Linked DNA regions of Macaca mulatta. The protein of the gene in region 1 binds, or shares a complex with, the protein of each later gene. Links are inferred from orthologs where the notes say so. Each region holds a gene or a part of one and is shown in the gene's direction. Other genes may lie near its edges.

What was found.
Region 2: CACNB2 (region 1) and CACNG1 share a complex: the UniProt entries of both Homo sapiens proteins name them as parts of the calcium channel complex. The link is inferred for Macaca mulatta from reciprocal best matches to the Homo sapiens genes CACNB2 and CACNG1.

The regions. Positions count from the first base shown.
Region 1 is NC_133414.1:20,061,541-20,073,632, forward strand, and holds part of CACNB2 (voltage-dependent L-type calcium channel subunit beta-2), read left to right. Parts: intron 1-4,139; coding exon 4,140-4,262; intron 4,263-6,527; coding exon 6,528-6,664; intron 6,665-12,080; coding exon 12,081-12,092. UniProt on the Homo sapiens protein: Beta subunit of voltage-dependent calcium channels which contributes to the function of the calcium channel by increasing peak calcium current. Plays a role in shifting voltage dependencies of activation and inactivation of the channel.
Region 2 is NC_133421.1:76,803,370-76,814,131, forward strand, and holds the end of CACNG1 (voltage-dependent calcium channel gamma-1 subunit), read left to right. Parts: intron 1-2,905; coding exon 2,906-2,980; intron 2,981-5,623; coding exon 5,624-5,761; intron 5,762-6,567; coding exon 6,568-6,794; 3' UTR 6,795-7,324; downstream 7,325-10,762. UniProt on the Homo sapiens protein: Regulatory subunit of the voltage-gated calcium channel that gives rise to L-type calcium currents in skeletal muscle. Regulates channel inactivation kinetics.

The DNA.
Region 1 (12,092 bases):
ATTTGTCTTGCACTGATGAAAAACTATGTGTGATGCTTAAACTCTGTTTTTTTCCAAGGAGTAAAAGAAACATCTGAAAGAAGTAAAAGGCCATGCTAGGATTATTTTTTTTTAAAAAAATCTTGAATCTATACTTTTGTGATCAGAAACTTTTCTGAATAATGGATGGATCTACTCATGGAAATTGTATTTCTAGTGGTAAAACTGAGTTTGATGAAGACTACATCCTTGGGAGGCTGAGGGGGGAGGATTACTTGAGGCCAGGAGTTTGAGACCAGTCTGGGTAACACGGCAACACCCTGTCTCTAAAAAGTTTTTTTTTTTTTTAATAAAATGTAAATACTTTAAAATATTTTTAAGGTTACATCTCACTAAAAAGAGCACCATGCTTTAGTGCTGGGTGCAGAATAAAACAATGTGGCCCATTTGGATGGTAGTTTGGAATACGATTTTAAAAGTCTTAATAATTCATGTCTGACACATGCTACCTCTGGGACTCCATCCCAAGGAAAGAATTCTAAATAGAGGCTTTTGTACAAAGATTTTTCAAAGCAGAATATTTTTCATACTGAATAATGTCGTGAATCTAAGTATCAAAGAAGGGTGAATGGTTGAGGTAATCTTTTTTTTTTTTTTTTTTTTTTGAGATGGAGTCTCACTCTGTCACCCAGGCAGGAGTGCAGTGGCGCAATGATCTTTGTTCACTGTAGCCTCTGCCTCCTGGGTTCAAGCGATTCTCCTGCCTCAGCCTCCCGAGTAGCTGGTATTACAGGCATGAGCCACTGTGACCAGCTAATTTTTCTATTTTTGTAGAGACTGGGTTTCACCATATTGGCCAGGCTGGCCTCAAACTCCTGACCTCATGTGATCCGCCTGCCTTGGCCTCCCAAAGTGCTGGGATTATAGGCGTGAACCACTGCACCTGGCCAAGGTAGTTTTAAAATATATTTTATTTTATTTTATTTTATTTTATTTATTTATGAGACAGAGTTTCCCTCTTATTGCCCAGGCTGGAGTACAGTGGTGCGATCTTGACTCACTGCTACCTTCGCCTCCCAGGTTCAAGTGATTCTCCTGCATCAGCCTCCTGAGTAGCTGGGATTACAGACATGCACCACCATGCCTGGCTAATTTTGTATTTTTAGTAGACATGGGGTTTCTCCATGTTGTTCAGGCTGGTCTTGAACTCCTGACCTCAGGTGATCCTCCTGCCTCGGCCTCCCATAAAGTGCTGGGATTATAGGCATGAGCCACCGCACCCGGCCAAAATATATTTTTAAAAGTATATCACTTGAAAAACTGTGTGTGTGTGTGTGTGTGTGTGTGTGTGTGTGTGTGTATGTGTGTGTGTATATGTGTGTGTGTGTGTGTGTATGTGTGTGTGTGTGTGTGTGTGTATGTGTGTATGTGTGTGTGTGTGTGTGTGTGTGTGTGTGTGTGTGTAAGTGTGTAAGAGACAAGGTCTCACTTTGTTGCCCAGGCTGGTCTCAAACTCCTGGGCCCAAGCGATGCTCCCACCATGCCCTCCCAAAGTATTGGGATTTACAGGCATGAGCCACAGCACCTGGCCTTTTTAAAAAATATATATGTTTTGTTTTTTCATTTTTTTTGTTTAATATTGGATGAAATGCAATATATTATGATTGTAGTTCTAGAAGTAAACTTCATATATTTAAGAAAATTTCTAGAAAAAAATAGAAACATCATACTGTCAGCCAGGCACAGTGGCTCACGCCTGTAATCCCAGCACTTTGGGAGGCCGAGGCAGGCTGATCACAAGGTCAGGAAATCGAGACCATCCTGGCCAACATGGTGAAACCCCGTCTCTGCTAAAAATACAAAAAATTAGCCAGATGTGGTGGCAGGCGCCTGTAGTCCCAGCTACTCGCGAGGCTAAGGCAGGAGAATGGTGTGAACCTCGGAGGCGGAGTTTGCAGTGAGCCGAGATCGCTTGGGCGCCGCAGTGAGACTCAGTCTCAAAAAAAAAAAAAAAAAAAAAAAAAATTATAGTGGAGGTCAAGAACTGGCTTCCAAATATTTAAATTCACCTCATGTCGATTGTGCCTGTATCCAGAATTTGGTCCTCCTTTCCCAATCCGCAAATTGTGACTAGACCTTAGTAACATTAGGGCCCTTAACTCAGTCTTCAACCCAGACAACAGTCAGGTAGAACAAATTAACTTTGGAAAATTTGGAAATGAACATGGGTTCTCTCTACTCCAGCTCCTTGTCTTCTCTGGCAAGTCCAGGTAAAAAGCTCATTGAGTAGGGAGAAACTGCTCCCTCCTCCTGAGAGGTTGAAATAATTTTTTTTAAAGAATAGGTTAAGCCGGGTGTGGTGGCTCACGCCTGTAATCCCAGCACTTTGGGAGGCCGAGGCAGGCGGATTACGTGAGGTCAGGAGTTCAAGACTAGCCTGACCAACATGGTGAAACCCCATCTCTACTAAAAATACAAAAAATTAGCTGGGCGTGGTGGCGGGCACCTGTAATCCCAGCAACTTGGGAGGCTGAGGCAGGAGAATCACTTGAACGCAGGAGGTGGAGGTTGCAATGAGCCGAGATCGTACCATTGCACTCCAGCCTGGGCAACAAGAGCGAAACTCTGTCTCCACAAAAAAAAAAAAAGAAAAAAAAAATAGGTTAAAAGGAATATCACATGAAAAACTATGTTACTTTGTATATATGGTGTATATAAGAAATATATAGAAGAGGCCGGGCATGGTGGCTCATGCCTGTAATCCCAGCACTTTGGGAGGCCGAGGCAGGCAGATCACCCAAGGTCAGGAGTTCTAGACCAGCCTGGCCAACACAGTGAAACCCTGTCTCTACTAAAAATACAAAAAATTAGCTGGGCGCGGTAGCTCACGTCTATAATCCCAGCTACTCGGGAGGCTGAAGCAGGAGAATCAATTGAACTCCAGAGGAGGAGGTTGCAGTGAGCTGAGATTGCACCACTGTACTGCAGCCTGAGCTACACAGTGAGACTCTGTCAAAAAAAAAAAAAAAAAAAGAAAAGAAAAGAAAGAAAGAAATATATAGAAGCAATCCACTTGCCCATAATGGGGAAAGAAATACAATACCACTTAGAACAATACAGTTTTCACCATTTCTGAGCTTACCTGTTTTTTCCACCTTGTGGATAAATAGATATTAGCTAAAGAGAGAATAAATGCTTATCTGTAAATTCTTTTGGTTTGATTTGTTTTTTTCTTTTTTTTGAGACAGGGACTGACTTTGTCCCCCAGGCTGGAGTGCAGTCGCGTGATCACAGCTCACTGCAGCCTAGACCCCCTGGGCTGAAGTGATCCTCTTGCCTTAGCCTCCCAAGTTGTTGGGCGTATAGGTGCCTGCCACCACACCTAGCTAATTTTTGTTTTTGATTTTTAGTGAGAAGAGGTCTTGCTGTGTTCCCAGGCTGATCTTGAACTCCCAGGCTCAAGCAATCCTCTTGCCTTGGCCTCACAAAATGCTGGGATTACAGGAGTGAGCCACCACTTCCGGCCCTTTATCTGTAAAATTTCGAAGCATCAAAGAAGGAAAGAGAGCTTAATTAATATCATCTTTAGTAGTTGAACGAACTCAAGGAGGAGAAATAATAGAAGAAAAGGTCATGGCTTTCATAATTCGTTGCAGCCATGAGTAAGAGCTGCTATAGTTATAGCATATATTCCCCGGTTCTTTTTTCATTCAAAAGACTGTACCTTTCGGAATTATGTCATTAATGATGAATTAATTAAAGTAGATGTTTGGGGTAGTGAGGCAGTTACTAAGTCCTTTCCACTGAAACCGAAGAACTGGGCATTTTATTCACGTTTGTGTTTCCTGATTTACAGTTGCTACAAGCGCCAATGTTGAAAACACATATTTCTGTGGCTCATCTTCGCCGTCTTTACTTGCAGTGCTTTCAAAGAGAACAATGGCTTTTTCTAGTTCAGAAATGGGTGCTACGTAGCTCAGAGCTAGGAGATTTCACGTGTTGTGAATACGAACAAACTGTTTTGTGATAAAGAACCAATGCAGTGGGGAAACCAACATCGATTACAGCAGTTATTCAGTGTATCTTTGTATTTGAGGGGAAGAAGGAGGGACACTGTTGTTTTGTTCTTATTTTTTTCCCTCTTTCTGTTCCCACTTTAGACAAAGCCCGTGGCATTTGCGGTTCGGACAAATGTCAGCTACAGTGCGGCCCATGAAGATGATGTTCCAGTGCCTGGCATGGCCATCTCATTCGAAGCAAAAGATTTTCTGCATGTTAAGGAAGTAAGGAGAATAATTTCATTTTCTATCAGCGTGATGTTTCACCTTGACATACCATTTCTTATTTCCTATTCAGATGCCATTTCTGTGAAGCAGCATCACACATCACTGCAGTTGTATAACATACATACTAAATCAATGGCTCTCAACCTCTGCTAATATAAATATACCTTTTAAAGTGGAAAGAAGTCACGGGCCTCTTGCAATAACTTCAGCGCTCCCTGGGGCTCTGTGGCCCAGAAATTGGGAACTGCTAGAGTAGATGATCCTTTTTTATACTTACCCTGTACTTCTTCTTTTAATGTTTCACCTTGACTAGGTGTAGTTTTCTGATGCCTGAAGTCTAGCCATCTGGGGAAGGTTTAATAATAATATCTAGAATTCGTGACTCCTCTCTGCTGGCAGTGTCTAAACTCAAACTACTGATGCCCTTTTTCCTCCTTAAATGCTAAATTTCTGCAGTGGATGAGAGAATGGTAAGCATTGATGCCAGTAAGGCAACAAAGAGGTATCAGGAAAAGTCCTTTTCCCACATGCTAAATGTCTCCACCTTTTAGTGAGCAATGATACAACCTGCAAACTGGAAACATTCATCCTTAATTAAGCTTTGCTTGGAGTCAACATTTATCAAATGCCTGCCTTGTGGAGCACTGTGTTAACTGACCAGAAATTTCCCCTGTAGAATATTCTCAGTGTGTGATCCTGAGATTTTTCTTGGACCTGGAGGAATTTATACTTGGAGCCCTTCCATGTAGGGTATAATATGTTATAGGAAGCATGTGTAAATTTAATCTCTTCACTGCACTAAAGGCTGTCAGCAAAGGAGTTGATGACTGCCAATTAAAAGAGCCTAGGGCCGGGCGCAGTGGCTCATGCCTGTAATCCCAGCACTTTAGGAGGCCAAGGCGGGCGGATCACAAGGTCAGGAAACCAAGACCATCCTGGCCAACATGGCGAAACCCTGTCTCCACTAAAAATACAAAAATTAGCTGGGTGTAGTGGTATATGCCTATAATCTCAGCTACTCGGGAGGCTGAGGTAGGAGAATAGCTTGAATCAGGGAGTCGGAGGTTGCAGTGAGCCGAGATCGCGCCGCTGCACCCCAGCCTGGCGACAGAGTGAGATTCAGTCTAAAAAAAAAAAAAAAAAAAAAAGAACCTAGAAGCCTGGATACTATGGCTCATGCCTGTAATCCAAGCGCTTTGAGAGGTCAAGGAAGCCTGATCTCTTGAACCCAGGAGTTTGAGACCAGCCTGGGCAACAGGGTAAAACCCCATCTCTACAAAAAAAAAAAAAATTAGCTGGGCATGGTGGCACACACTGGGAGTCCCAGCTACTCAGGAGGCTGAGGCCAGTGGATTGATTGAGCCTGGGAGTTCAAGACGGAAGCGAGCTGGGATCATGTCAATGTATTCCAGCCTGGGCGACAGAGCAAGACCCTATCTCGATTAAAAATAAAACAACCTAGAGAATTTAGAGCCTACCATTTTGGTAACCTCTGAAAAGAGATGTCAAATACTGGCTTGGTGGGAACAATAGAAAAAGTTATCAGAAGTGATGCTGTGCCTAGAATCTCACTTAACACCGGGAAGTTAGATTATTACGGGGCCTCTTCTTGATGGTTGGTGCTGAAAGGGGAAAGGAGAAAAACAGAATGTATATTCTTCTTTGAGGTGTTCAAGGACAGATTTATTCCATCAAGGAAAATGAAGGCAGATCATAAAGATTTAAGATACATATTCCACCTGCAAGAGATAAATTGTCAACATCACACAAGTAGAGAAATCATCTGTGAACATCGCACTGTGTAATTATAAAACTGTTTGCACAAAGGTAAATTGTCCTGTGACATGAAATATTTAAGGTAGACTTCAATATTTATCTCTTTCTCTCAATACTTCTGATTATATAAGGGGAATATTTCTGTAACACTACTTCCTAAAGATCTCTTGGTAGGATGGGCTGTTATTCTTTGAACCCAGAGAGCTTATCCCTACTCAAGGTGACAGCAGCTGCTGCAATGGAATTCAGCCTGGTCCTACGGCAGCACCAGGACAGACAAGGAACGAAGAGCCTTTGACAGATTGCTGAGGACACTAAAAACATTTCTTACATGTTAAACCCATGAGCCAAAGGGTTTCTTGAATGATAATATTTGAGGCATAGTTCATTGTCATTGCCATATTTCTCTCCACTGAAAATAGTGTGGAAGAACAAGGATTTGACCTTCTGTGCACTGATTTTTAATGCTTTTGATTTTGTGTTTAGAAATTTAACAATGACTGGTGGATAGGGAGACTGGTAAAAGAAGGCTGTGAAATCGGATTCATTCCAAGCCCAGTAAAACTAGAAAATATGAGGCTGCAGCATGAACAGAGAGCCAAGCAAGGGAAATTCTACTCCAGGTATGAGACAGATGTCAAGTGTTTGCATAAAACTTAGATTATACCACTATCTGTGTACTGTTGTCTGCTGTATTCTATATCCTTTATTATGTATTAACAAGGAGGCTGGTGATATGGTTTATTGATAGCATCACAAATCTTGCATTTTCCTGCATTTAAAAAACTTCAATCCACCACCTGATTTTCATCCTATTTGGGGAAGTATCAAATTATTATCATTAATGAAAAGAGCTAAGGTCACAGAGTATTAAATCCAGGCTCCAGTGCTGAGAAAATTCTGAAACCTTAATCGTTTACTGAAAAACAGTCTGGCACAGAATAGCCCTGGTGACTAATCCCACTGTCTGTAGCTGCCTGGTATGGCTAGGAGATGTTTGGGAGATGACAGTCTCAGACATCATCAGGAAATGGCAGCTCTTGTCATCTGTTAGTTTCATTTTCACCTGAGAAACTCAATTTTCAGTTCTACCCACTGTTAAGCACTTAAAGAGAAGCAAAGTATGAAACAAGTTAAAACTGCCTGTGCAGATGGCAATTAGATGAGTTATGTAAGAAGCTGGGGCTGAATAATCCCTCCTAGGATTCGTGAGGTTGTCTGCCCCTCTCTAAAAGAATCGCTAGAAAGCCTTCTCATACACATACTGAATTTTACATGGAATCATATGCAGACGGGTCTAGGGATGCAGCATGCCTCTCCCTATGTGAAAGGATGGGACATGGGCAAGGCCTTTCTTAAATGTGAATCGCTGGATTTCTGTTTTTGCCATCTTACATCTTATTTGTTTATCTAAGATGCAAATCCCTTTGTCAGTGATAATACTTTAATGTTAGCAAGTATTTTTTTCAAGCATCAGCAGATGAGTGAAACAGAATATGCTTTGTGGTTTGGAATACCCATCCTCATTAACTGGCTTTTTATAATTGTCAAGTTCATTTAGTTCAGATGGATTCCTCTGTGTTTTGAGACCTCCACCCCAGAACTGACTTTCATTAATTCCTGGGTTATTGAGAGTGCTCAGATGGTGAGATGCATTCAGTCAGATAAAAGTAGAGGCGTGCATAAAAAAGAACAAGATTGGCTGGGTGCAGTGGCTCATGCCTGTAATCCCAGAACTTTGGGAAGCTGAGGCAGACGGATCACCTGAGGTCAGGAGTTCAAGACCACCCTGGCCAACATGTTGAAACCCCATCTTTACTAAAAATACAAAAATTGGCCAGGTGTGGTGTTGGGCACCTGTAATCCCAGCTACGCAGGAGAATTACTTGAATCCGGGAGGTAGAGGTTGCAGTGAGCCCAGATCGTGCCACTGCACTCTAGCCTGGGTGACTGAGTGAGACTCCATCTCAAAAAAAAAAAAAAAAAAAAATAAGATCATGTCCTTTGCAGCAACCTGGATGGAGCTGGAGGCCATTATCCCAAGCGAACTAACACAGGAATAGAAAACCAAATACGGGGACCGGGCGCAGTGGCTCACACCTGTAATCCCAGCACTTTGGGAGGCTGAGGCGGGCGAATCACAAGGTTAAGAAATTTAGACCATCCTGGGCAACATGGTGAAACCCCATCTCTACTTAAAAAAAAAAAAATACAAAAATTAGCTGGGCATGGTGGCATGTGCCTGTAGTCCCAGCTACTTGAGAAGTTGAGGCAGGAGAATCGCTTGAACCCTGGAGGCGGAGGTTGAAGTGAGCCAAGATCGCGCCACTGCACTCCCGCCTGGCGACAGAGTGAGGCTCCATCTCAAAAAAACAAAAACAAACAAACAAAGAAAAACAAATACTGCATGTTCTCACTTGTAAGTGAGAACTAAACATTGAGAACATACGGACACCAGGAAGGGAACACTGGATACTGGGTACTACTTGAGGGTGGAGGATCGGGGGAGGGTGAGGATCAGAAAAACCACCTCCTGGTGTGTTATGTTCATTATCTGGGTGACAAAATAATTTGTACACCAAATCCCTGAGACATGCAATTTACCTGTGTAACAAACCTGGACATGTACCATTATTATCATTAGCAGCAGTAAATTATTCATTAGGCCAACATATATATAATGCATATTTTATATGCAATATTAAATATTAAATTTTTGTTGAAAATGCATTTCTTAATGAGAAAAAAAGTAGAGGCATGTAGATAAATAACGTATCTGCATTTTGCCTGCAGGGTGTTCGAAGACCTGATAGTATTCTTTCAATTCTTAATGTTCCATTGACCTTATTTTGTGTTTTCCTACCCTCTGTATTGAAAATGGTATCATAATACTAGTTAACAAAACCTTATGGCCAGGCGCGGTGGCTCATGCCTGTAATCCCAGCACTTTGGGAGGCCAAAGCAGGTGGATCACTTGAGGCCAGGAGTTTGAGATCAGCCTGGCCAACATGGTGAAACCCCGTCTCTACTAAAAATACAAAAGTAGCTGGGCGTGGTGGTGCATACCTGTAATCCCAGCTACTCAGGAGCCTGAGGTATGAAAATCACTTGAACTTGGAAGGCGGAGGTTGCAGTGAGCCGAGATCATGTTCCAACCTGGGCGACAGTGAAACTCCGTCTGAAAAAACAAACAAACAAAAGCCACCTTATATGGAAAAATGTTGTTGTAATAGGGTGTAGACATTGCTCTTATCAACTAGGTAGTATATAGTTTGTTGAGGTTTGAAGTTATCCCAGCTGGGGGATGTTTTGTTTTTAGTTAGGACAATTCAGCATTTTTCAGAATTTTCTTGTCAAATCACTTGAGAAAGGGGTTCCAAGATAAAATAAATTTAGGATAGTTCTAGGTAATAGAAAGTTACTTTAGGATTTTTCAGAGCCTTTTAATGTGATCATGGACACCGTGAATCTCTGGTGGAATGGGAATTTTTTTAAGTATTTACTAAAATTACTTTCTCATCAAAACTCTGGTTGATGTCTTAGGAAGAGTGTTTTGTAGAATGCATTTTGGAAAATTTGGGATGGATTTTTGCAGAGGCAGGCTTGTGTCTTTTTCTGCCTCTTCATACAGAAACTAAGAAATAAGAACAACTTCAAAGGGAGTAGAAATTTTTCCCAAAATTGTCAGAGAAATGTAGTCTCCTGTGTCTCCCAAATGGGCTTCCCTAGGCTAACATTAGTGCTCCACTCCTCTTTATAAGGACCTGTGGGAGCAGTGGGTATTAGATCTTACAGGTCACAGATGAGAAAACAGGTTAAGAGAAGTTAGAGAACTTGACCAAGGTCGCAGAGCTAGTAAGCGTCAGAACCAAGATGGCAACCTGACCTCCATGCTGTACAGACCTCCATGCTGTACTGCAAATTAAGGAGCCAGGTCTTGCCAGGCACAGCAAGCCCAGGACAAATGGTTATTGCCATCTGTTACTATTTACTTTATTAGATATGTTGTTTTGCTCTTGCATTTTTTTCCTTAGGATTCTGAGTTATCCGTATTTGGGGAAATGTAACACCTCAGAACTTACTCCAGAGAACTAGGTTACCTTTTCTTACAGCCATATATCTTTTTCTTTGATTTTCTTCATTTTATTTTGTCTCAAGATTTTGCCTAAGTATATGAAAATACTTTTACTTGCTTTCACAGGTTTTTACATTTCTCTTCTTTTTTTTTTTTTTTTTTTTTTCCCTTGTCTCGCTCTGTGCCCAGGCTTGAGTGTAGTGGCACAATCTGGGCTCACTGCAACCTCCACTCCCGGGTTCAAGTGATTCTCCTGCCTCAGTCTCTCTCCTGCCTCTCTCTCTGTAGCTGGGACTCCAGGCACGCGCCACCACGCCCAGCTCATTTTTGTATTTTTAGTAGATACAGGGTTTCACTGTGTTGGCCAGGCTGGTCTCAAACTCCCGACCTCAGGTGATCCACCCACCTTGGCCTCCCAGAGTGTTGGGATTACAGGCGTGAGCCACTGTGCCGGCCTCTTAACATTTTAAATGCAGTTTTGTTTTGAGGACATAACCAGAATCTGGCAGTCTTTAAAAACTCTGATACAGAAATTATAAAAATTGACAGAACTCAATGGAAATGGAATTGGGGTACAATTCAAGAACTTGGCATTTTAATAGAATTAAAAGTCAAGGACAAATCTGCATCCTAGCCATGGTCACCGTTTGCAGTATTTGTCACAATTTTATATAACTCAAATAATATTTGGCTGTTACTAAAATTCAAAGGAAATATAAAACCCATGAACTTGAACTGAAATTAGACTTAATACTTTAGGGGGAAAAAAATGTTTTGGTCTTGGTAATAGGTCCTTGTATAACTGCCAGAAACTGCTTTTATAAATATCACTTGTCATTAATTTCACATACTGTCTGATGCCCTTACTAAATGTATTTGAGTATCTCTTAACCTTAAACAGATATAGAGCCCTCTTGCTAATTGCCTAATAGTTTTTGATGTTTATGCATAAAAATGCTAGAACAGTAGCAATAACATTCAGCCTGTTACTGATACTTTAATAAAACTTTTATTTTCATATTAATATTTACATAAGCAAATATTGCCCTTTGATGCATAAACGCTGTAGCAAATTCTTTCAACTAGACCCTGGCTTGGCCATAATAATAAACATTAGGCAGTGAGATCATTTTGCCCAAATTTAAAATGTTCTTCTCATCTTCATCTGAGAGAGGGGTCATTCAGTAACATGTTATTTAGCATGCCAGTATGCTGGTGAAAAACACAAATGCTGTTGTTCTAATATTAACTCCAATGTTTCTGAGACACTGAAGTTTATCTTACATCAAACTTTCGAATTTGGTAGTTCTGAAATGTATGATGTTCAGATTATTCCTAAATTAACCAAGTTTCATTCTCCATGTGAGTCATGCTTGAGAAATATTCTGGGCACTATCTGATGACTGCATCATATCAATTCTGTTTAGTCGTGTCTCTTCGTGTGTCTTTTAGTGGTTGGCAAGTTTTCATGTGGCTCTGTTGTTCTTTGATAGGTTGCTCATAAAAGCTTGCGTGCTTTCAATCTTAGTATACTATTAATAAAATAAGCCTAAAACAGAGGAGCTGCAACCAAACAAGAAGGAAATATTAATCTTGGGTGTTAGCCTTAAGGTTCTATGCATCACCTCTGAGGGTCTCTAAAATAAAAAGCAAAATAAATCTGTGCTGTTTCGCTATCTGTGATCTGGGCAGATAATTTGAGGGCTGCAGAAATTACACTGGTTCTCTTCCATTCTCTCAGGGCCTTTTAAAATTAAACCTTCAATTTGAAATCAGAGACCATCATGTGCCTATTTCAAGTACTCCAGGAATCTCCACTGGGAAATACTGTTTTCTTCCTTAAATGAAAGATAAATTTAAAGTTGAATAAAAACACAATGAATTATCATGTTTATTGAGTAACACAAACGTTTGAGGATCTGAAATAAGTATCAGATTTAATAGAAATTTTTGCTTTACTCCAGTAAATCAGGAGG
Region 2 (10,762 bases), on another chromosome or scaffold:
AGTCTGCACAGGACCGTCACAGTCCCTCTCCTCTTGCCCCATGGCTAAGACGGGTTCCCCTCGGATGTCCTTCCTCTTTACGTTGCCCTGGATGCTCAGTTTCCCAAATAATATCCACCTGGACCCAGGGACAGGGCAGGGAGGGAAGGGGCTCATAGTAGGGTCTGTCCATCTGAACAGGACCCTCACCCTCTTGAGTGACATGGGCAGATGCCTGGCCTGATTTATCCTGAATGGGGCCTGGATCTGACGTGCCCCCACCCCTACAGGGGCCATCAGGGACCATGAAAGGGTTTATGGTCTCCAGTGGGCAGCCACATAGCCCAGGAGTGGATGTTTCTCCCAGGTTCAGGGCAGGACACACTGGCCTTTTTCATGTGCTAAGCCCAAGAGAGGGGACAGGTCGGCCCATCCGTCCTCAGGCCCCTAGTTCAGCCATGTAAGAGTGAAGCTGAGGCTTCCTGATGCCCCGAGAAGGCATCCTAGCCACTGGAGGCCCCCTCCCTCCATTTGAGGACACTTAATGGAGAAGAGGGAGGGGGAACATTGTCCCTGGACCACCAAAAGAAAAGCAATCCCCCCAAAAGCTCACAACCTGGCTCCTGCAGACATGTAGGCTACCCCTGTGTCTGAGTTAAGATCATTTCTAGCCAAGCAGCCAGCAGCCACACAGAGCCTGGCGTTTATCTGGTGGGGATTTGGCGAGCCAAATGCTACCTGTGCGGGAGTCACCTCAGCAACCCACCGGGTGCAAACAGCCGTGCTCCAGCAAAGCACTCCGTGGCCCTCATCTCAGGGTCCTCCGCTGGGAAGGATTTTAACTGACAGCTTTCGAGCAGTCAGGGAGGCAGCTGACGGTGAAATACACTTGAATTCAGTCAATTCTGACAACTGAAACTGGTTCTTAAAGAATACAATGGAAACAGAAATGTTTCTTTGTCCAGAGGGGGACACATGGAGACTTACAACATAGCATGGGCCATTTCGAAGCAGTGATTCAAGAGATCTATAGCTAATAATCTAACAAATAGAAAAGGTCTGTATTATGCTTTAAAATAGCACCGGACGCCGAGAGAGAATAGCAGAGCACCAATTCTGACATCACCACCAGCAGTCAGACACCCCAGGTAATGTGGTTCAAAAGGAAAGTGATTTAAATATAGAAGCGCACAGAGAAAGCTGTTTATGCCAGGAACGGGTACTGCTGCTAAACCACATCCCATCTCCAGGGTCATTTCCTTCCTCAGCCTCAGGAGAGGCAGCAGCCCCGACTTTTGGGGCAAGGAGGGGAATAGTACGAGACCACAGGCTTAAGGAGCAAGAAGATGATTTAGGTCCGATTAAAGAAGGCCTTCATCCCCCCAAAAAAAGCCTTGGTATCACTGCAGGTACGTTTCCAGAAAGAACTAGCCATCAACCGCCTTGTGAGCATCTAAATGAAGCCTGGAAGTGAACAAATGAATTGACAAACTAGACACCATCTAAACTAGAGGAAGAGATGCCTTTCTATTTGAGGGTCATTGACCCACAGGAAAAGAAATCAATGAAGGGCCTCCACAAATAAAAAGCAAACTAATTTAGTTTTTGAAGGAAACATAATATAAAATAACCCATTCATCCACTTCCTAAATCAAGAGCAAAGAAGATAAACTGGATTTAGGAAGAGATAAGACTGTGCAGACTGTGCTTTTTTTTTTTTTTTTTTTGAAACGGAGTCCCACTCCATCACCCAGGCTGGAGTGCAGTGACACGACCTCAGCTCACTGCAACCTCTGCCTCCCAGGTTGAAGCAACTCTCCTGCCTCAGCCTCCTGAAGTGCTGAGATTACAGGCGTGAGTCACTGCGCCCAGCCTGTCCTTTGATTTTATAGTATACCTAGCTATGAGAGAGAGACTGAAGGAGAAAAATGGAAGTGAAATTATATTTTAAATCAGCATGAATTTCCTTGTGCTGAACCCCTCCCCTCTCCCTCATCAAATTCAGATTCGTGTTCCTACTACCCACAGACTTTCCATAGCTTTTATGACAATTATCAGGTGGGCCAAGCGGCTTTGTGGGGCAGGTCTCATCTGGGCTGTCTCACAGAGACCAGCGACCCAGTGAAACCACATGATGGTCACATTCAGCCCTCGTAGGGGTTCCATCTGCGTCCAGGCCATCCCAATGGCCACTCGGAAAAAGCCCTTTGCGGGGCATTTTAAGGAGCCTGGAGCAGGGTTCCCATCCCGGCTGCACATCAGGATCTCCCAGAAAGCTTTTGAAAAACACTGCTTCCCAGGTCCCACCAGTGAACCAGGGTGGGCCTGGATTCTGATGAGAAACAGTCCCAGATTTGGGGTTGGTCCAGGGTTTCTCAACCTTGGCACTCTTGACATTTTGGCCTGGATCATTCCATGTTGGGAGGGCCTGTCCTGCGTGTTGCAGGATGCTCAGCAGCGTCTGTGGCCTCTACCGGCTAGGTGCCAGGTGTACCCCTCTCACCACCACCATGTCCCCAGGCATTGCCCAGTGTCCCCTGGGGGGGCAGAATCGGTCCTCACGGAGACTGCTGTTTGGTTCTTTAGTGATTGTGCACCCTGCACACCCTGAAAAATGGCTTAAGCCTGGGCCTCGGTTACCCCGTCTGCCTAATGGGGTGCAGAACCCATGGGCCATCTGCCCTGTGGACTCATCCAGCCTCAGCTCCCTGAAGACCTCTCAGCCTTCCAGGCAACCTCATTATTCCACTGAGATGTTGTTCTAAGGGTCAAAGACAGACGTTTCAGCCCAGATTAAGGATCTGGGGAGAAGAGAGCCTGCCAGAGCCCCTGCGTGCCCAGCAGAATGACACCGCACTCTCTGCCAGGCCTCTGTCCTTGCTACAGGTCCCTCCCCTCAACTCACAGTGTGTCTCCTCCTTTGCAGAGAAGAACTGTTCCTACTTCAGGCATTTTAACCCCGGCGAGAGCTCAGAGATCTTCGAATTCACTACTCAGAAGGGTGAGCCTGGGTGGAAAGGGGGCTGGGGTGACAAGAGGGGACTTCTGTGTCATGCATCACTGGGCCAGAAAGCCATTGGGGGCAAAAGCACTGACTTCCTCAGGCCTGATGAGAAGAAGCCCATGGTGCATTTGAACAACAGCCTTGTCACCTCTCTGCTCCGGAGGCCCCAGGTAGCCGCCTTCCATCTCCAGGGCCCAGAGCTTCCACACCTCGGGGCCAGGGAGCGTTTGCAGAAGCAGCACTTCCTGGCAAGCTCCTACCCAAGGGCAGCTGTTGTGATGGGAGCTGTGGATGTGGAACAAGTGCTCGGAGGCCCTGTGGTGGCTCTTGGTGGGATGTGATGGTTAGAGTCTTCAGGGACAGTCTGAGTCCCTCCCTGGCCTAGAAATCCCTCCCCAAGTACCGAGAGGGCGCAGTGGGCTCTGGAGCTTTTCAGGACCCACAGAGCTCAGACGCACACCCACTGTCGGGACACACACCTGTGCCTGCCCGCGCCTAGACAGCTGCACACAGGGTGAGTGGGTACACACACAGACGCACACTGACACACACAGACACACAACACAGATACACACATACAATGACACACACAAGACACAGACACACAGACACACACTGACACACACAGACACACAACACAGATACACACATACAATGACACACACAAGACACAGACACACACTGACAGACACACGCAACACAGATACACACATACAATGACACACACAAGACACAGACACACAGACACACACTGACACACAGACACACGCAACACAGATACACACATACAATGACACACACAAGACACAGACACACAGACACACACTGACACACAGACACACGCAACACAGATACACACATACAATGACACACACAAGACACAGAGACACTGACACACACTGACACACACAACACAGATACACACATACAATGACACACACAAGACACAGACACACACACACTGACACACGTACAATGACACACACACAGTGACACACACAGACACACACAACACAGATACACACATACAATGACACACACAAGACACAGACACACAGACACACACACTGACACATGTACAATGACACACACACAGTGACACACAGGCAATGACACACAGACATACAATGACACAAGGCAATGACACACACAATGACACACACGATGATACACAAGACAATGACACACAAGGCACACACACAGAGACACACTGACACACATGTACAATAACACACAAAATGACACACATGACATACTGACACAATTACACACACAGTTACACACACAAGACACAGGCACACACAGAAACACACACTGAGACACATATACAATGACACACACAATTACACACAATGACACACAAAATGACACAATGACACACATGACACCACACAATGACACACAATGACGCACACACCACACAATGACACACAATGACACACACAAGACACAGTGACACACACAAGACAATGACACACACAATGACACACAAGACACATAGACACAGACACACACACATGTACAATGACACCCACACAATGAGACCCACACAAGACACACAGAAACACATACTGACACAATGACACAAGATACACACAGAGACACACACTGACACACGTACCATGACATACACACAATGACACACACAAGACACACAGAGACACACTGACACACATGTACAATGACATGCACACGACATGCAGTGACACACAATGACACACACAAGACACAGTGACACACACAAGACTGACACAATGACACACAAGACAGACACACAGAGACACACACACGTACAATGACACCCACACAATGACACCCACACAAGACACACAGAAACACATACTGACACAATGACACAACACAATGACACAAGACACACACAGAGACACACACTGACACATGTACCATGACATACACACAATGACACACACACAAGACAGAGACACACTGACACACATGTACATTGACATGCACATGACATGCAGTGACACACAATGACACACGAGACACAATGACACAAGACACAGTGACACACAGGCAATGACACAGACACTAACATGCACAGATACATGTACACACCAGCACATGCAGACACACATACACACAGTGACACACCAACACACTGACAGACCCAGATACACATGCACACACTACCATACGCAGACACTAAACACATTCTGACAGATCCTCACATATGTGACACATACATGAACACACACACTAACCACACACAGACACGCACACTGCCACACACACTGGCAGAGCCTCACGTGCACCGGGCTGCGTGACAAGCCACCCTGTGGTCCTTTGCTCCTTAACCCCAGGCAGACCACCCGCCACCCCAGTGCCTCCTGCCCTGTCACTCGAGGAAAGTTTCTGCTCTGGAAAGGCCTCCAGCCACTTGCCTCTCGCCTCTGCCCCCGGTGGGGACCTTGCAGCCTGATGCTCTGGGAAGACATGGGTAGAAGAAGCCCCATGGCAGCCTGGCTCTGCGTGGGCCTTAGGGAAGGACTTGGCCCCTGGGGCTGTCGGCTTTCTCGTGTGTGAGATGGGAATTGTGGTGCATGGGGTGGTCCCTAACCAGCCACCATGAGAGCTCCTGGACTGAGGCCGCATGCCGGGTGTCCCTTGTGTTTGCAGAGTACAGCATCTCGGCAGCCGCCATCGCCATCTTCAGCCTTGGCTTCGTCATCCTGGGCAGCCTCTGTGTCCTCCTGTCCTTTGGGAAGAAGAGGGACTACCTGCTGCGGCCCGCGTCCATGTTCTACGCTTTTGCAGGTAGACTGGGGGCTCCGCCCGAGCACCGGACTGGGGGGACCATGTCGTGGGGGATTCTCCGCTCCACTCTCATGCCCACCGTGGGATTTGGGTAGGGGGCATTTCCCAGGCTCCATCCCCATCCAGGGGCAAACCTGGCCAAGCCCTCAGCGACCCCAGGTGGGCTGGAGGGAGACAGAGCTTGGCGGTCTGTCCATTCCTCCCCATGATTCAACCCTCAAGGCCCCAAAGAAACTGCCCAGAGAATGATTAACAGAAGAAGGAAAGAAACGTGGTCGCCTTTCTTTCTTTTTCTTGGGGGATGAGGAAGAGGGTCTCGCTCTGTCGCCCAGGCTGGAGTGCAGTGGAACGATCACAGCTCACTGCAGCCTCGAACTCCTGAGTTGAAGGGTTCCTCCCGCCTCAGCCTCCTGAGTACCTGGGACTACAGACGTGCACCACCACACCTGGCTAAGTTTTTATTACATTTTAATTTTTTGTAGAGACAGAGGGCTCATCACTATGTTGCCCAGGCTAGTCTCAAACTCCTGGCCTCAAGCGATCCTCCTGCCTCAGCCTCCCAAAGTGCTGGGATTACAGGCATGAGCCACCGTACCCGGCCATGTGGTCGTCCTTCTAAGGGATGCAGGAATAGGGTGGTGCGTGGACAAATGGATCCTTCTGCAGGCTCCCAGCTAGAACCTGCCTTGAGGCAGCTTTTCCCCCAAGGCAAGGTCACTGCCTCCTCCATGCACACAGGCTGGGGTGGGGCTGGGGGTAACGGCAGGCACCCGTCGGTCCCTGAGCGTACCTGGCTCCGCCCCCAGGTCTCTGCATCCTGGTCTCGGTAGAGGTCATGCGGCAGTCGGTGAAGCGCATGATTGACAGTGAGGACACCGTCTGGATCGAGTACTATTACTCCTGGTCCTTCGCCTGCGCCTGTGCTGCCTTCGTCCTCCTCTTCCTCAGTGGTCTCGCCCTCCTGCTGTTCTCCCTGCCTCGAATGCCCCGGAACCCATGGGAGTCCTGCATGGATGCTGAGCCTGAGCACTAGCCCTCCTGTGGCCCTAGCGACCCTCAGGCTTCTTCTCCAGGAAGCCATGTCTCAGCCCGGAACCTTCCAGAGGGGAGGCGGGAGCAATTTTAGCTCCACCCTGCTCCCATCTGCCCCCTGCCACAGTCGCAGGCTGCTTCCTCTCTCTGAGCTCCTCTGGGCTGCCGCAGGCTCCCCTGGGAATAGAGCAAGAGGATGTCAGTCTCAATCTGGCCACAGTTGGGAAAGGCAGGGCCAGCAGGTGGACAGGTGTTTGCAAGGGCCCCACTTCCCCTGGAGCTCAGAGGTGTCCCCACTGTACCAGCCTCTGATAAGCTGCCTCCGGTTGTCCTTTATGAACATTGCAGGGACAACCTGTGTTTGCCAGTTCTTGGTGTTCTGTGTAAATAGCCAGCCCCTCCCTTTCTCAGTGATAAAACACACCCTCTCTGGTGAGCGCAGCGTCCCCTCCTTGGCTTCCAGGAGCCCTGGGAAGCATTTTTAACTGAGTAGAATCTGTCTGTGGCTTGAAATAAAAAGCTCTCAGAAAACTCACGTTTTCTTCACACCTTGCATAGAAATTGCTCAGATTCCTGGTCACATCAGGGGCCCCCTGACGCGGAATGAGAAGGGAAGGCAGGTCACCCGGGTACGTTGAGGACTTTTGTGGGGACAAGAGGGCAACACACGTGGCTTAGAGGCTCTGAATTCCAACTCAGACAGGGTTTCTCTAGGCCCTGAGATTGTTTTCGGGAGAAACTAGAAACCTTCTGATGAAGCAAGGGTGTTAAAAATAGGAGGGGTTATTTCTAGAGCCTGGCATGCAACGCACCTGGTGCCAACGCAGCGCTAAAGCAGCCAGCCAGTGTCTGATTTCTGATGCTGGATTTCTGTTGTGAAGAACATCAGGAAGCAGGGCTTAGCAGTTAGATGCTTAGGGCCACATGAAAAGCCATGATTTGCACACTTCTGCCTTCCAGAGCCCCACAGTACTTGCCCAAGCTTCCGAAGTGGAGTTCAGACATGATTGGCAGATGGGATCTTTGCCTTGCACCCTGGAGAACCCACTGGAGTTCATGCTCCTAGGGCAAGGTTTGGCAAACTGTGGCCTGTTGGCCACACCTGGCCTGCCCCCTCTTGCTGTATGGCCCACAAGTAAAAGGTAGTTTTTACAGTTTTAAATTGTTCAAAACATTAAATTAAAAAAAAAAAAAAAGCCAGGCTCAGTGGCTCACACCTGTAAATCCCAACACTTTGGGAGGCCAAGGTGGGTGGATCACGAGGTCAGGAGTTCAAGACCAGCCTGGCCAAGATGATGAAACCCCATCTCTATTAAAAACACAAAAAATTAGCCAGGCGTGGTGGTGTGCACCTGTAATCCCAGCTACTCAGCAGGCTGAGGCAGGAGAATCGCTTGAACCCGGGGGGGCGGAGGTTGCAGTGAGCCAAGATTACGCCATTGCACTCCAGCCTGGGCAACAGAGTGAGACTCCATCTCAAAACATTAAAAAAAAAAAACCCAAAACAATCAAGGAACTGGGCATCGTGGCTCACACCTATAATCTCAGTACTTTGGAAGGCTGAGGCAAGAGGACTGTTTGAGTCCAGGAGTTTGAGACCACACTGGGCAACATAGCAAGACTCCATCTCTACAAAAAATAAAAATAAAATAATTTAAAGATAAAAAGAAGAAGAATCTCTCATGACATATGAAGATGATACGAAATTCACATCTCAATGTCTGTAAATAAAGTTAGATTAGAACCCAGCCACACCCATTCTGTGGCTGCTTTCGTCACCATTGAGTAGTTTCAACAGAGATCTTCTGTCCTGCAATGCTGAAAATATTTACTATCTGACCCTGTATAAAAACGTGTGTTTACCCTTGTTCTGGAGAAAAACTGTACAAACATCAGCCCACATATCAACCCCTTACTAGTCCCATCTGAAAGCTGAGGGGAAGTTCATTCTTTCAATTTGCCTGCGGTACCTCGGGGGTGGGGGGCTGGGCTAGGAGGGGTGTCAGAGGAGACTCACTCAAAGATGCAAAGATCCAGCCAGGAAATAAACTTGCTCGAGGTAAAGGAGAATCAGAAGATGACAGTCCCGGCCAGCCAGGGAGCTGAGGCCACAATTTATGAGTAAGAAGGAAGAGAGATAACTTCCTCCCATTGATAACCATTCTGGAGGTTGATATTATCGGGTTTTTTCTTTTTTGAGACAGGGTCTCACTCTGGAGTACAGTGCCCAGGCTGGAGTACAGTGGCACAATCACAGCTCACTGTAGCCTCGAGTTCCTAGGCTCAAGTGATCCTCCTACCTCAGCCTCTCAAGTAGTGGGGACTGCAGGCGTGCGCCACCACACCCAGCTAATTTTTTTCATTTTTTGTTGAGACGGGGTTTCAATATGTTGCCCAGGCTGGTCTCTAACTCCTCAGCTCAAGCAATCCACTAGCCTTGGCCTCCCAAAGTGCTGACATTACAGGCATGAGGCCACCACACCCAGCCTGCTTTTTTTTTTTTTTTTTCTAACAGATTGGAGTCTTGCTACACTGCCCAGGCTGGCCTCAAACTTCTGGGCTCCAGCAGTCCTCCTGCTTCAGTCTCTGGAGTAGCTGGGATTACAGGTGTGAGCCACTATGCCTGGCTCCCATATTATTGTTTTATTACTCTTTTTACTTTTAGCAGAATCAGACTGGCGTGCCTTTTTTCTTTTCTTTTCTTTTCAGTTCTCTTTTTTCTCTTCTCTTTTCTCTTCTCTATTTTCTCTCTCTTCTCCCTTCTCTTCTCTTCTCTTCTCTTCTCTTCTCTTTTCTTTTCGATGGAGTCTTGCTCTGTCACCCAGGCTGGAGTGCAGTGGTGCGATCTCAGCTCACCGCAACCTCCACCTCCCAGGTTCAAGCCATGCTCCTGCCTTAGCCTCCCAAGTAGCTGGGATTACAGGTGCCTGACACCACACCCAGCTAATTTTTGTATTTTTGGTAGAGACGGGGTTTCACCATGTTGGCCAGGATGGTCTCAAACTCCTGACCTCAGGTGATCTACCCACCTCGGCCTCCCAGAGTGGTGGGATTACAGGTGTGAGCCACCGTGCCCAGGGCCTTGGCATGCGTTTTCTACTTCCTCATGGGTGCCTATGGGTTGGTGCCCCCAAAAGACATCTGAATGGAATATCCACCAAACAGAATACATTCGGCTTCCCAGGCTTTTAACTCTTTTAAGATATACTTCAGCACAGCCAGAACTGCAATGCAAACCAAAGGGTTGGAGGCTGTCTGCCAGAGAGCCACACATCCTGGCATCTGCCCCAGAAAGAGGCAATGGAGCAAAGCAAAATAGAGTCAACCAAACCAATGAGGGAAAACGTCTTACTCCCCACCTGCCAAATGCTGCTTGCCAGAAGGATGTCCAGAGGGGAAAATGGTCGGCTTTGGCAGGGACTGAAGGCCTCACTTCAGGGTCCGTGCAGGTCCTGCTCTGAAGGCCACCCACAGCCCAACCACAGAACAACAGTGCCATCTGCCCTGAAGCCTATGGTTGGCCTCAGAAGCCCATGGCTTCTCACTCCTTGCTTGGAACTGCGTGACTGACTCTCTCTTTCTTTCTTTCTTTCTTTCTTTCTTTCTTTCTTTCTTTCTTTCTGTCTGTCTGTCTGTCTGTCTGTCTGTCTGTCTGTCTTTCTTTCTTTTCTTTCTTTCTGTCTTTCTTTCTTTCTCTTTCTTTCCTTCCTTCCTTCCTTCCTTTCTTTCTTTCTTTCTTTCCTTCCTTCCTTCCTTCCTTCCTTCCTTCCTCCTTTCCTTTCCTTTCCTTCCTTCCCTCCCTCCCTCCTACCCTCCCTCCTTCCTTCCTTCCTTCTTTCCTTCTTTCCTTCCTTCCTTCCTTCCTTCCTTCCTTCCTTCCTTCCTTCCTTCCTTCCTTCCTTCCTTCCCTCTCTCTCTCTCTTTCTTTCTTCTCTTTTTTTTTGATGGAGTCTCGCTCTGTCGCCCAGG